2 linked regions of the Struthio camelus genome follow. The protein of the gene in region 2 purifies or fractionates together with the protein of the main gene of each other region. This does not show direct contact. Links are inferred from orthologs where the notes say so. Each region holds a gene or a part of one and is shown on either strand. Other genes may lie near its edges.

What was found.
Region 1: the proteins of GAPDH (region 2) and SIAH1 purify together in Homo sapiens (affinity purification with western blotting; 4 studies listed by BioGRID). This does not show direct contact. The link is inferred for Struthio camelus from reciprocal best matches to the Homo sapiens genes GAPDH and SIAH1.

The regions. Positions count from the first base shown.
Region 1 is NC_090951.1:15,989,414-15,997,529, reverse strand, and holds the start of SIAH1 (E3 ubiquitin-protein ligase SIAH1), read left to right. Parts: upstream 1-4,849; 5' UTR 4,850-4,868; intron 4,869-8,116. UniProt on the Homo sapiens protein: E3 ubiquitin-protein ligase that mediates ubiquitination and subsequent proteasomal degradation of target proteins.
Region 2 is NC_090942.1:90,956,689-90,963,949, forward strand, and holds the start of GAPDH (glyceraldehyde-3-phosphate dehydrogenase), read right to left. Parts: upstream 3,202-7,261; 5' UTR 3,012-3,201; intron 2,757-3,011; 5' UTR 2,733-2,756; coding exon 2,710-2,732; intron 2,078-2,709; coding exon 1,978-2,077; intron 1,664-1,977; coding exon 1,557-1,663; intron 1,470-1,556; coding exon 1,379-1,469; intron 1,192-1,378; coding exon 1,076-1,191; intron 960-1,075; coding exon 878-959; intron 662-877; coding exon 510-661; intron 380-509; coding exon 301-379; intron 16-300; coding exon 1-15. UniProt on the Homo sapiens protein: Has both glyceraldehyde-3-phosphate dehydrogenase and nitrosylase activities, thereby playing a role in glycolysis and nuclear functions, respectively.

The sequences.
Region 1 (8,116 bases), on a different chromosome or scaffold from region 2:
ATATATGCCTTAGAAATATATGGTATTACAGAGACTGATCATATGGTATATAACTCTATACAAAGTTATATACCACTTATTAGGCACCATATAAATAACTCTTCTTTTAAACATACTTTACTGATATTCCTTGAAACATATGCCAAGGAGGAAGAGTGTGACTGAAGTAGAAATTGTAAGGTTCTGAAAGTGAATTGCATATATTGTAATCCATTCAGACGAGACGGGAAGTGGGACTGCCATAATTTTTGCTGTGACTTGGCCTAGGCCTGTCCTGGGATAGACTTGAGCTCAAAGCAGGGTGCAGTGTGGGCTGGGGGCCATGCTTGCAGAAAGGTGATCTCAACATCCGTAGCATCGGCATCTCTGTGTTACCACACGATGCTCATCCTGCTCTTGAAAGTAGTGTAGAGGAAGAAATTAGATATCGTTCCACTAACTTTTAATCGGCTCATTTGTTAGGTTCAACTGAAGCAGTCGTAGGGACTTCTGCTGTGTATGACCTTCCACTGATAAGTAAACTAGGATAGAAACTTCCTGTATGAACTTCCATCCCTGTCCACCAAAGTAACGTTATTATCTGTGTCAATGGGCTTTGACCCCAGTATCTGCATGCTGACCTTTTTCGAAAGCTGACTCTGAAGAAATTAAAATAGAACATGTATTCACTTCTTCTGGCCCCAAGCATAGGTCAAAATAAGTTTAATGCCTGCAGCATGCTAAGCTCTGGTTTTAGGAAGAGAGTGTAATGCCAGCAGGAGAAGAATGGTGGAAAATATTTAGCAGCAATTGAAGGTGAGTTGGCTTATACATTTCAAGATAAATTAAGGGAGTTTTGACAACATCTGAAGGTCCTTTTAGGATCTCGTGGCATCTCTGAAAAATTAATCTAAGTAAATTCTAGGCTTTAAACTTTCTGTGCAGGACTGTAGAAGTATAGTATGCTAAAGGTAGAACAAGCATTTTTATAGATCTCTACTATTTTTATCTTGTGTGAATCACGTGTTACACAGGTGTTTGCAGTTGGTGATATGACCAGAATATATTAAATATATTTTCTTAAGGAGCACTTTATGTGTTAATAAAATACTTCAAATATTCCAGAATACTGAAAAGAATGTTAACATATTCTATTTCCTCATTGTTTTTTTTAATAATACTGTGTTCATACTTGTTAAATTATTATTATTAAATGTTTTCTAGCATGTATATTTATAAATATGGTTGTCCTTTTTAAATCCTGACTCACACCATAATATTTTGATGGTACAGTAGTCTAGATTGAGATTTCATATTTACTTTGCTTTGTTTTCTAGTGAAATTAGGTTTAAGAGATTCTGTCCTCTTTCAGCTCCTTTTCAAGTTGTAGCTCTGTGAACTTTCACACCACTGTCCAGTTTCTACCAAAGTGGTGGAGGCTTTGATGGACATTTTTTTCTTTACTATATTCATGAGAGTAAGTGGTCAGATGCCCCAGGTGCTCAGATTCCAATCAGGAAGCCAAACTTCATTGGTTTTACTGCTCATAGAGTGGGTGCATGTTAATTATACTTTCTTTTAATACTGACAAAAGACGTAATGTAAACATAGCTATACTAGTGTGGAAGTACTTTAAATGGTGTATCTAATACAACTTGTGAAATTACTACATGGTATAACAGCTCAGTCTTTCTTTCCAATGGACTAAGTCTTTCCAGGACTAAGTCTTTCACTAGTGATGTTAACTTTGCTAATGAGGCTTCAAATATATAAAGCCAAATAATGCAGGACCTTACACTGTAAGACCTTATTAAGTAATGAATAATCTGTGGTAGCTAACAGGTCATTATGGTGTGGTAGAAGCTTGATGGAGAGCTGACAAACGAGTAGCAAAAAAGTCAGACTATTTCCAGAAAATGTGAAATGATGATATTGCTTTCTATTGTGGATTTCACTCAGAAGACTGGAACTTGACTTCTGGCTATTGTATCCAACCCTTGTTGGCAGCGAATCACTGTATAAATAAAACTATTTAGTCCTTTTGTTTTGGTTAGTTTCCCAGATTATGTCAAGGTTAAATTACACATTAAGAGGAAAATATCTTTTCTCTTAAAAAAAAAAAAAAAAAAGTGGTTTAAATATTCCTCAGTTTGACATATAACAAATGAAAAAATATGCATTTGATATGGTTGTATTTTGTTTAAACAGTCACTCATGCTTTCTATTAGGAATAATGGGGAAAAAGTAATCTGTATCTTACCATAGCTGAATATATCTGCTTTGCGTGATGCTGAGATGAGGTGCTTTTGCATGACATACTTAAATCTGTATTGGTTTACATTTTTGAGCCCTTGACACCTCCTTTTCTTGAAATACTAAAAAAAGTATTGAAGCAATGCAAGGTGTATTTTAGGGGAAAATCAGAATTATGAGGTGTGATTCAGAGATTTTGATGACGAGTGGGCTGATAATGTTCACTTGTAGACATTTTCCTGTACTATAAATTACAGTACTAATATTGGCAATTTCATAAATTTCCCCAATAGAGCAATATATTAATTACAGAATGTATTTTCATTGTGTAACTAGACTAGTGACAAAGTGAGAAGGATGATGATTATAGCAAATCAATGCGGAGAGTTAAAATAAGACAGTAGTGAGTAATATAATGTTCAAAAAGTGGTTTGTCCTGTTGGATACTGCATCCATGTTCCCTTGAAAGCCTAGAAGGTATATCTTTTTGTTCCTCTGCATTAAAAATTGACTTGCATTTGAAGATTTATATTATGGCTATCGTGCATGAGAGGAATTTATTCATGTGATGAGCATGTTCTTTGTAACATCACTGAGTTGTTACCGAAGAAGTAACTGATTCGTATTGTGAGCTGTTCCATTGGTAGGGGCTGGAAGTGCTGTAGCCGGAAAACTCTGGATCTGTTAAACTGGAAAGCAGTGTTCAATAGAGTAGGTAGTGATTGTATTTATCATAACCCCATTCTTCCCGTGTGAGCCACATGAAAACATTCCCTCCCTCCCTCAAGATTAATTTACAGTTGTGTAGTATATTTTACATCTCCAGTAATTAAATTATTTCAGATCTTACCGTGGATGAAATTAGATTGTGGCGACTGGAAAGGAGACCATGTTCAGGTTATATGAAGTCCAAAACCTTGTTATTTAATCATTTATAAGTTCTTCAGTTGTGTTTTTGAAAAGAATATCATCTTTCCTGTTTAAATTATGCTCTAGGCAAGTGCAAGATATACAGATGCTACCACCATTCTTCGTTTCTCAAGTGAATAATCTAATATGGATTTGCAGCTTCTTGAACAGAAGTCTTGGAATATAGAAAGCATATATGATCTATCCTGTACGTCTCATTCCAACATAGAAGATCCCTTTTCATTGTGTAGACTCTTAAATTCTATTCACCAAATTGGAACTTGCCGACAAAATCCCCATATGAAGGTCAGCAGGGTAAAGTGAGAACCTGGATGCCAATGTTGATTTTAATTTCCTGCTGCACGTATCCAGATATATGCATCAGTGGTCCTAGCTGTTCTCACAAGTTCTCTTTGTTTGCATTTTATCCAGGCAGGCTTCTCAGTTATATGTAGAAGATAAGAGAAGCAAGTACGATGGATTATGCCATAACTGTGGGTGTTAATTCCTAGCCGCTTAAATGTATTGCTTTTATGAGATGATGTTCCTTTTGTTATCCTTTACTTAATTCCTACAGAGAACTAAAGTTAGGTGCACAGTTAATAAATAAAATTACAGGTAGCAATCTCTTTCCAATTGAGAGATTCAAAGACTTGAGCAATTAGTCTGTCCATTAGGCTGAAATCGCTAAAGGCTTGGAGACTGTAACATAGGCTTTGTTAGAAATTTCTTCTGAAAATGCAGATGATTTAAGGCAGTTCTTCTGCACATGTTTTAGTAGAGGAGTATAATAAACCCGAACTTTTTATGAGGACTATCAACAAGTACCTGGGGAGCTTCCTGAAGATCTGATGCCTGACAAATTACATCTGTACTGATGGAGATCAAACAGAATTGATGCACAAAACTACTGATGAAAACTGTAAAATAGCTTAATAGTTTAGACTCTCTCTGCAAACCATTGAAATTGATGGGAGGTTTTCTATGAATTATAGCTCAGAACATTGACACATATGTACAGAAGACTTATGACAGCAGTTTCTGTTCTCTCCATCTAACTTTCTGTGAATACTCTGCATCCTACATAGCTTCCCCTTCACCCCTGCAGCCTTCTCAGATGGACAGAAATACCTACAGCTCTTAAATGCAAGGTGTGAGTTAGCCTGAAGAGCCATTTGGCTATAGCTCAGTTAGTCATGCTTGACCTCCAAATCTCTGTGTGAGTCTGCTGCAGAGACCATAGAGGGCCGTGTTCCTATAACACCAATGGGGTAAGACTGTTTCCTGCCATTCGCACCGTTCTAATGTTGTGGGAATTCCAAGGCGTTTTACAATCTGGAATCAGTCCTATGTAAGTTAATATATGTAACTCCGTTACAGAAGCATAAACATATGAAGCTCTGCAGAAGATGAAACTCAGCGTAGATTTTCAGCAAACTGAAAAGACCTAATACAGTTGCTTCGTGAGGCCGGAGATGTAACAAAAGAAATAACCTAACTTTTTCCCAAGCCAGGAACAGATCTTCTGCCTAAAATGGATTTCTTCTAATGAAAGTCTTACACACCAAGCATGAAAATCACTCCCTATAGCCAGCAGAGGAATATAAGGAAAGGCAGCAGCTGCTCTTCTGTGCCCTGGGATGCGAAGAGGAAACGGTATACCCCAGAGGAAACTGAAGCTTTGTCTTGCTAAAAAACAGTGGAGAAAAATCAGCAAGACTCCTCTGGTGAGTAATGTTATATGGCTGATGTGGGCACCTCATGAAATATGGAGTGTGCATAAGTGAATCTGTATGCAAGCCAGTGGTGATGCCAGGGGATTCTTCCGTTTAAACATGTAGTTGGTGAATGTGAAATGCTTTCCAAAACCACATTTTGAGAGTTGGTTCTCAGTACTGTAATTCATCGCTGAATGGATACAGTAATATCAGCCAGAAAAATGCTGTATTTCTAAGACTATATATCCATGTTTCACAGTAAGTGAAAAAATTCTGGTACTCTTTTCTCCTGATATCTACCTTGCTGAGAAGATTTCTTTTTATCTAGGCAGTAAGTTTGAGAATTTGATCCCTCTCTAATGGTTCTGATTTGCTTACTGTATCCAACAAACCATCTTCCTTCTTAAATCCACTCACAGCCTCTCCTTACTGTCCATCACCTCTGAATGGTACTGAGTCATTAAATCCTTCCTCCAATGACCTTGACACAGTAGGCTCCATGCCTTTTTGCTAACTACCCAGTTAGAATATTCATATTTTCCTATACTTCTTTTCATACTTCAGAAGAGATTTTGCACATTTGAACATCTGCAAAGTTCTCTCTGTCTCTTTCATTCAAATCCCAGTAAACCTTTTGCTTGTTTGGTGGTTTGTTTTTCCTATGCCTACAAAATAGAGGATAAATATCAGGATGTCAGTGTACTATAACTACTTTCTATACTGCTAATTTTTATTGTCTTGCTGCTTTCTTTTGTCTATATCCTCCTTGCTCTCTCCCACCTTATGTAATAAGCTCTGTGGGGCAGGGACTATCCTTTTAGGTTTATGTTTGTTTAGCAGCTAGCGTACTGCAGTCCTGGCACGTGATTACAATTTCTAGGCATGACTGTGGTTAATAGAAGAAGAACTTACCTGTGTAACTTAGCCTGGTGTAAAATTGGACTTTATACTATGACAACTTTACCTATATGAAGGGACAAATGATCAAATAGAAGTATGTAAAGATGATCAATATCTCTGAAAGTCCAATTGACATAAGACATTTTCACCTTATATACTTGTGTCATGTAATCTGGAGAGATGGTCAGTTGGGAATTGTATAGGGGAAAGAATTAAATTCAGTCTTGCACCAAAGAAACGGAGCCACTTGCATCTGGACTGTGTGTATGTATGTTAGCCACAGGACTTGCTCGTGGCTAACGTCACAGCTTTTCCCTGTACGTTGTCTCAAATGTGGCATCAAAAGGATGAGAAATCGTCCATCACCATTCAAATGTCTTGGTTCAGTAGGATTACTCCATGAGCTGCAATCATGAAGAGCTGAATTTTTCCTAGTCCTCTTGCAGGTACAGGGAGGGAAGGGAAACAAACATACCAATCTTATTTTTGTGCACATGTGAAGACAAGGGAAAATTGCAATTGGGGAAGTGCAGCAACTATTCCATCTTCCCCCAGGACATGCAGAATCTCCTCTTAGGAACAGAAACCCAGGAGTCCAGGTCCTGTTCTGCTTTTCTTGTAACTTCACTGAATTCAGGGTATTTGAGAATACAGAAGATTGGTACCATATGTGTTAGAGAAGTTCAAAAGGAGACGTATTAGAAAGGATACTCACAAATTATGCCTGCCTGAACGAACTTTGGCAGATTGCAAACACACTATAATGCATACGTTACTGATAAGTTGTGTTGTAGAGAATATAGTCCTTTTGATGTAGGAAATAATATCCGTCACATCTCTAAAACTGTAAATGACGTTTTCACATTAGCCTTGTAACTTTTAGGGGATCTTGTCTGTATGGGTAATAGCGCATAGTTACAGTGCTTGTCTAAGTTAATCTCTGCTAGTACACCGAAAACGTATATACCAGGTGATCCAAAAGGCAAAGAAATCAACAGTTCTTAAGGTTGTTGGCTGCAGTTAGTTTGTACAGTGTTTTTAACGTGCTTAAGACAGCTCAGAATAGTTAAATTTCAGTGTCTTCATAAGCGCGGTTCAAAAATTAAGGTGACAAAATAATGAACCGGTAGTGGCTTAGAAAAGTTCCTCAGCTGGACTAAGAATTTTAGGGGCAATATTCACTTTTTACTTGTTTTTTTTTTTCCTTCCATCAAGCACAAGAGATTGTAATTTATAACCTCCCAGTTTAACTTGTATTGATGAATTTGGTAGAGATTTTTTCCTTTCTAGGATATGAATGAGTCGTTTCACTGTCTTTCTCTTTGGGGTGAGCAGGCTTTGGGATAGTATTTTCAATGTTGTTACATGCAAGCTTATATAAGTTGCTGAGAGGATGCATTCACTCAGCACTACTGATGTAAGCAGATGCCCTCCCCTGCTACCCAGTTCTTGACTGTGACGGTACCCAGGCTGTACTGTATAAAATCCTGCTGATAAAAGTTTTACATAGTAAAAGGATTTTGTAGTGGTTTCATTAAGTGCCATGTTACAACAAAGTCACAAAACTAGAAAGCTGCAAAGATGAAAGTGAAATCTAAAATAGTTTATGAGGATTTATGGTAAACATGTATATATTTTAGAAGGCCTCTGGCACTAATAACCCCCGTGTCTATCCTCTAACTAGATTAAATTAGTTTCCATTAGAATCAGCAGATGCAGCAGCCATGGGTTGCTTTTCATTCCCAGGGGGTACTTTCTCCTTGGTAGCAACCCCAGATACCCTTTTGCTTTTTCAATGTCTATTTGTTATACAGCAGTTAGGAAGATGGCAATAAAAATGGGAGAAAAGCAGGGAGGTTATGGTAAACATCAGTGAAAATGGAAGAAAAAGTTAGAAGTGGCCATGGCTTAAATTAGTTTCTTTAATGGACTTGCTAGCTAAGGAGAAGTTGTTGAAATCTGAATAGTGGAATAAAGCTTTCAAGAGAGAAAGAAAAACACTTCTAAGGGCCATTTATTGGAAGCTCACTGATGAAATTTATTGATTATGAAAATCATTGTCTATAATATGATGACTAAAGGGACAGATTAATCTCTGTTGAAATTCTACTGGAGTCTATATATTTGCAACTGGTCCGCAAACAGTACAGTTTAGGATACATACAGAGAAGATTGATTGTATTGCTGTGGCAGTAGCTTCCTCTAACTGTAGTCCAAAATTTCTAAACATGTAGGATGGCTAGCAGCAGGAATAGTTTCTTGTAAGAAATCCCCATGTTCTAGAGCTTCTATTTTTTGAACAAACTAGGATTTTCTTCCATTAGCATTCTCTCCATGAATTTTTAAGGAAGCAGGGT
Region 2 (7,261 bases):
GTCATCATACTTGGCCTGAGAATAGAGACAACATTAAGAGGGTCAGATCCCAATTCACACAAAATTGTCAGCTGGGCCAGGGAAGGGGGTAGAGAGGAATGACACAGCTACAGCCCAGATACTGGGAGCAGCACAGCAGGTGCTATTCTTGCCAAGACCAAGTATTCCTGGTCATCACCAGGGCTGAGTGGGAAGAGTGTGGGAGGAAGACACAGATGTAGAGGGGGCAATTCTAGATAAGAGGAATTTGGAGGAAGCAGGAGCAGGTTTGGAGGTTAAGGCCTTCCCCACAACACTCACTGGTTTTTCCAGACGGCAGGTCAGGTCCACAACAGAGACATTTGGGGTTGGCACACGGAAAGCCATTCCAGTAAGTTTCCTGTCAGAGAGGTAAGAGTCAGAACAGCAGTCAGCACCCCTCTGCCAGCCTTCTATTCCGCTAGGAATGGGCCAGAGCCAGCCAGGCACTGTCTACCTCCTTCCGACACCTGAGAAGGGCTGACACTCACCCATTGAGCTCAGGGATGACCTTTCCTACAGCCTTAGCAGCCCCAGTGGATGCTGGGATAATGTTCTGGGCAGCACCTCTGCCATCCCTCCACTGCTTCCCAGAGGGGCCATCCACTGTCTTCTGTGTGGCTGTGATGGCATGGACAGTGGTCTTGGGGAAGAGAGCACAGGAATAAGAACACAGCCAATAACTTTCAAAAAACATCCTGAATGCTTAACTCCCCATCCCAAGGAACACAGGGAGGCTAGCCCTCTTACTGTGTGAGTTTACACCCCTCACAAACACAGAGCCCGTGGACAGTTACTTCTCTTCTCACATGAAGAAACGTGGGGATAGGACACACTAAGCAGCAGGCTTTAGACCTACCATAAGACCCTCCACGATGCCAAAGTTGTCATGGATGACCTTGGCCAAGGGCGCCAAGCAGTTGGTGGTGCAAGAGGCATTGCTGAGGAAAAGAGAAAGACACACATCAACCAGAGGCAGTATACCTACCCATGAAAGATGAGACCCCATGCAGCTGGTGAAAGTTCCAGGCCAGAGAGCATCCTCTTCTCTCCTTACCTGACAATTTTCAGCGACTTGTCATACTTGTCATGATTGACACCCATCACAAACATGGGAGCATCAGCTGAGGGGGCAGAGATGATAACACGCTTAGCGCCACCCTTCAGGTGAGCCTGTGAGAAGAGAAGGAGATCAGTTAACCCAGAATACCCCAACAGCTTGGAGAGCAAGATACTTCCTCAGACACCCTCTTCTCCCTCCCAGCCATCTCCTCCACATCTTGAACTCTGTACATGGTGATGTGCCCCACAGGTAGGAGCAGCAAGCGTCCTTTCTCCCACATGCCACTGGCCTACTCACGCTAGCCTTCTCTGTAGTGGTGAAGACACCAGTGGACTCCACAACGTATTCAGCACCAGCTTCTCCCCACTTGATGTTGCTGGGGTCACGCCTGAGGAGGGACAAAATCATAAGAGTTGCTCTGTGAGAGATCTGTTTTCACCCTTCCAAGGGATGAGAGGGAGAAAGAGATACTTACTCCTGGAAGATGGTGATGGGGTTCCCATTAATCACAAGTTTCCCATTCTCAGCCTTGACAGTGCCCCGGAAGTGACCATGAGTAGAGTCATATTTGAACATGTAAACCTAGCAAGGAGAGAGAAGGGGGCGGGGGGGGGGGGGGGAAGAGGTCAGGCACCCTAGCTGCAACCCCCCATCCCTTGCTCTTGCAATCACAGATCCCAGAGTTCTCCAGTGAGCTGATCCAACTGCTGCTCTGTACTCGGCTCCACCAAATCTGCTGGGCCCACAACCCTACGCTTTGTCTCTCTCATTCCACCCACAGCCCCACACCTGACATCCATGGGGAGCTGCCAGAACAGAGCTAGGGGAGTCCACTGCCCCACTGCAAGAGGCAAACTGCATAGAAGGCCTGGAGGAGACACCACGAGGCAACTCACCATGTAGTTCAGATCAATGAAGGGATCGTTGATGGCCACCACTTGAACTTTGCCAGAGAGGATGGCAGCCCTGGTGACCAGGCGGCCAATGCGGCCAAATCTGGGGAGAGAGATGCACAGATAAGTAGGAGGAGCAAGGAGCCTGGCTGGCTGGGCAAGGCAGGGCATAACAGTCCATGGCTTTCCCTCTGGGACATCGGCTGCTCCCTGCCCAGAGGGGCAGAAGGGAGCCCATCAGCTGCGTTCAAAGGCCAAGGAGCCCCAATTGAAGATTAAGAGCGACCCCTGCTTGGGGCAGCCGCGCAGGAAAGGTCAGGCGCTAAATTTACTGCAGGATCCGGTTACTCCTCACAGCACGGTGGGAGAAGGTCACATTCCCCAGGGCCCCCGGGGCTCCTGCGACACACGATCTCCCTGGCATCCTTCCGACGGGGGTCACCAGCCCGGCCCCGAGCGGTGGCACCCGGCAGGGCCGGGCAGGACAAGGCAAGGCGAGCCGGGCCGCGGGCGCTCGCCGCGCAGGGTGACTCAGCCCGACTCGGCCGGGGGGGAAAAGGGGGAAGTGACTCAGTGCCCCGCCCTCGCCGGGGCCGCTACCCCAGGGGGGACGAGTTGCCCCGCGGCGCGGCGCGCAACGGCTCATCCGCGCGTCCTTGGCGCCACCTTGCGCCTCCCCCGCGCCCGCCCACCCGCCCGCTCCTCTCCCCTCCCCCCCCAACCCCGCACACTCACCCGTTGATTCCGACTTTCACCATCTCGCCTCTCAGGGATGTTGGTGCCTGCGGGGAGAGAGCGGCGCTGAGAGGCGCGCAGAGCGGGGCGATCCGCCCCGGGGGAAGGGAATCTTCCCCCCCCCCCCCCCGCCATCTTGCCGCCTTTGTGCCCGGGGGCGCCCAGCCGCCATGCGCCCCCCCCCCCAAAGCTTCCCTGCTCCCGCCCCACGGCAGCGCAGCCCCCCCCCCACCCAGAAACAGGACTGCCCGCCCGCCCGCCGCCTTTCCGTCTCCCCCCCTCCCATCCCCCAGCCCCCTTACCTGCCGCCTCCGACCCGGCCCTGACGGACAGTGAGAAGGTGGCGCCGCGCCGCGCCGCCGCTTTTTATAGCGGCGGAGGGGAAATGGCGGGTCCCGCCCCGTCGGGCCGGCGCCGAATGGGAGTGCGGGGGCCGGGCCGGGCTACGTGCGCTGGGGGGCTGCGGCAGCGGCGGCGCCCCCCTCCCCCCCCACCGGGCCGCGGGCAAAGGTCCCCCCAGAGGGGCCCCCGCCGCCCCCTCGGGGCCCGGGGCTGCGCTGCGCTGGGGGGGTGCAGCGCTCCTCGGGGGAGGGAGGATTGCAGTGGGGTGGGGGGGGACCGCAGTGCTCTGCCCCTTGCCAGCGCTGAGGGGCCTCTGCGCTGTGCGATGTTGGGGCGGGGGGAGGGAGGCCAGGGCATGGCTGGCCCCAGGGGGAAGCGGGGCTGTCGGGGTGCGTGGGTTGCGCTCAGCGCCGCACACCTGAGCTGGGGGGCCCGGCACCCCCCTGGCAGGGCGCGCGCGGCCCCTCCGGCTGCCGCCTGCCCGAGCCCCGCGGCTTGCGAAGGGAGGCCACGCGGCCGCAGCCCCCCGTTCGGGGAGGTTAGGAAGGAGCCTGGTGTCGGGCTCCGGCCTCTCGCTAGCCGGGGGCTGCTTCTGCCAGGCGCGTGTGCGGCCACGCGTGCCTTGCTGGGCCTTGCCCAGCCGCCGCGCGACATGGTGGGCGCCGCTTTCCTTGGCGGCCCGGCAACAAGGGGGGAGGCCACAGCGTGCGCCGCTCTCTGCACCCCTTTGGCCCCCCCGGCCCCGGTGGGGGCGGGAAGGGCTGCACTGTTGCCGGGGCCATCCCGAGGGCGCAGCAGGTTGCCCAGCCCAGCCCCCCTCTTCCCCACATGTCGCTGGGGGGAAGCGGGGCCGTGCTGCCCTTGGCCTGCTGCTCTCGGGGGGGGGGGGCTGCTGTTTTGCCCCCGCTCTTGCCAGGGCCCCGAGCTGCCCCACGCTGCGCTAGCCAGGCGCGCTGTGAGCGCGCCTGCTGACCCAGCCTCCCCCCGGCCGCCGGCCAAGGCCTCGACATGCTGCGCCGAGCGGCGTGAGCACCATGTTAATGAGGAACCGGGGAGGCTGCTACTCGCGGGACGTGACTGCGGAAATCCTGCCTACCACCCCGCGCTGCCGGCTCGCATCCACGCTGTCGGGGCGCGTTCATTGGCTGGGGGCAGGCCAGGGCCTGGGCCGGGCGCCGGTGAGGAGAGAGTGCTCCTCGCATGATGGCCGTCCCTGCCCTGCATGCCTGCCGGCTGCTCCGGGGCAAGGCCGGGATCCCGCCGGCTCTGCGCTGAGACCTAGAGCATGTCTCAAAGCGGCTGTTCCCTGGGGAGGGAGCTCTGAGCATGCACGCGCCCGGCTTAGGCATGCAGGGAGAGGAGCGCGTGGGAATACGGGAGATGTGCAGCTGGGCCCGGATAGGGCAAGGCAGAGGGATGAAACCTTCCCCCGTTGTAGCTCGGCTGGCCAGGGCTTTAGGGTCAGCCGAGTGGGATCCCTGAGGATGGGAAGGACGGAGCGGGCTCGGGGAGCAAAGCAGATACCGGGGGGGGGGGGGTCTGGAGATGGGTCACCCAGCTCAGACGTAATCCAACGCTCCTTATCCTGCTGCTATTCCCGGTGCTGCCAAGGGGCAGGCAGCTAAGTTTAGCCCCAGCTGAGGTTACGACATTTTCTTAAAGGCCATGTGGGATGGCTCATGTGCTGCAGCGATGCAGCTGGAGGTTGCAGGGAGCCCAAAGGATCCCGTGCCTCATTCGAGGCATCGCAAATGTAGCCTGGGAAGGGCCAGAAGAGGGGTCAGGGTAACTTTTGGGGGCTGCCTTAAATTTCTGCCCAAATAGGAGGCCCACTGTTTGCTCAGCAAACATGGGTGCCGCCGAGTACTCTGTGCAGGGGGACAGAGTGCAGGTGGGATGAGCCAACGCAGCAGCTCCCAGCCCCGTGCCCCTGAGCCTGGCCGGCAACCGGGATTTCAAGGCTCCACCCTAGCTGCTTGGAGCCCGTGCTGGAAGGCAGACGGGCACCTGGCGGCCCTGGCTGCAGGGCCTGCAGGGGCAGCCGGGGGCTGAGCTCAGCTCCTGGCTGCTGGAGAGGATGGGTGTGGTACGGGTAGCTTGGCTTGGGAGAGCGGGCGGCTGCACTTCCAGCCATCTCCTACTTGCTGAATTAGGCTGAATCTGTGCACGTGGGCTTGGCAGGGGGCGCGAAAAGTGCCTAGTCATAACGGCAGGGTTTCAGTAAGGCTGTGTCTTTGCAGCCCTTTGCAGCTCTCCTTTGCAGGAAGGAGAGGCAGAAGAGGCATCTCAGACTCAGGGCTCACTGAGGTTAGCCGGAGTGATGGGAGCCGCCTGGCCGTTATATAACTGCTAGGCCCCAAGGGGACAGCCACGGGGTCGCTCACGGCACTGGCAGGCTGGAGGCGCAGGGCTGAGAAATGGCTCCCTCGGCCTGCGGTTTGCTAGCCCCCAGGGATCAGCAGCATGCACCCAAAATGGCCCCGCAGCACGTGGGGGCTGCGCCACCACTGCCACCACCGGGCCGGGGGCTGCGCCAGGTCTCGGGCTCTGCCGCCACCTCCCGGCAGCCGGCGGGTGCCAGGGCGGCGGGGAAAGGCATCGTCCCTGGCCTGCCTCTCGCTTGTCCACAAACCGGAGGCCTGACAACAGCCGAGGTCGCTGCTGCGGAGGTGGTGCTGCTGTGGGGTTTGGGCAAATGCTGCAGAGTCTGGACGAGACAAACAAACAATACAGCTCTTTTTAATTAGCAAGTCAGTTCTTAAGCACAAATGGCAGGAGAGAGAACAGCCAAGGCCTGTGAGCCCCTGCCAGCTGGGCAGCGGGACCTGCTAGCCGAGCAGAGAGGGGGGCGGCACACGCCTGGGAGGGGTCCTGGGGCTCCAGGCGGTAGCAGAGCTGGACAACCCCTGTGCTCAGCCCGCTTTGCACCACTTCATAACTTCCCTGCTGCAGCGGTCCTTCAGCCAGCAGCCTAGGGCAGGGGTTTTAGGGCTTCAGCGGTGGGCATGCCATGCTCATCCCCATTTTGTCCCAAGCAGGTTCTCCAGACGCTTCAGTCTCCTGTGCCTGTGCAAAAGCAATGCCTGTGAGCCTCGTGGCAGCGTGCAACCCACCTGCTCCCCGTTCACCACCCAGACTCCGAGGGCTGGTAGCCCAGAGGTCACTACTCTCATGTAGTAGCAGCCAAGCTCTCTGACTTTGGCCCACCAGCAGTCAGGCGGTGTCCCGCTGTGCCCCATCAGCCCCTGGGTTCAGCTTGCTTCCCTGTTGCCCAGGTCCCCCTGTTCCTGGTTCTCCCTATGGTTTATGTTCTGGAGTCCCCCCTTGCTTCTCTGCTGCCCTCGCTGCTGTCTCTCTCACCTCAGAGTTTCTCCAAGGCTAACACCCCAAACCACTGAAGGTCCCAATCCGGTCCATTTTCAGTCCAAAGCAGCCCCTGGGCATGGCCTTCCAGGCCCAATCTCCAGCCAGTGCCCACTTGCGATTGGCCAGGGTCTTGCGCCAGAGCGGGAGTCGGGCAGTTCTGGCCCCAGATGGGAGGAAAGGGAGGGTGGAGGAGAGCAACGGAGGTCCAAAGCTGGACCCTTCCTTCATGTCCTCTTCAGCCAGCATGGATTCAGAGTCCAGGGGCAGCAACTGGGAAAGAAACATCTGGGAAGGTGGGATAAACAGAGAGGAGGCAAGGGTGAGAATGGTATTGCCTGTGCTCCTGTGTCTCATTTCTCTCTCCTGGTGATAACCCAATGTGCCCAAAGCCTGCTGTCCTGCTGCCCCAAATCTTCCCTAGGATGCAGGCAGGACTTAAATGGTGTCTGTACACGAGGCATTGTGTTTGTGACGTATTCAGGCATGGGGATCCCCAAGGGAAGGGCTAGACCAGCTACTCCTACGGTCTGCAATGATTTCTCTGTCCGAAGTAGGAAGCTGGTTTAGGCCTCTGTGTGCGAGTTGCTTGCCTTGCTGTTGTCAGACAGGTCCCCCTGTACTTGGAAAGTAATTTGAGTCTTCAGTCCTTGGTCTTCTTGCTGATGCTGAGCTGCTGTTTATTCTTCCATGTGCTCAGACTGTTTTCTGGCCCTTTGTTTTCCCAGAGGGCTGGGGGGGGGGGGTGGGGGTGAATGGATCTACCCGAAATACCTGGTGCTAAAGAGGGGCAGGAATGGCAGTGTCGCAGGAGCAGGTGTGAAGAAGGGGGCTCCTCATCCACTGG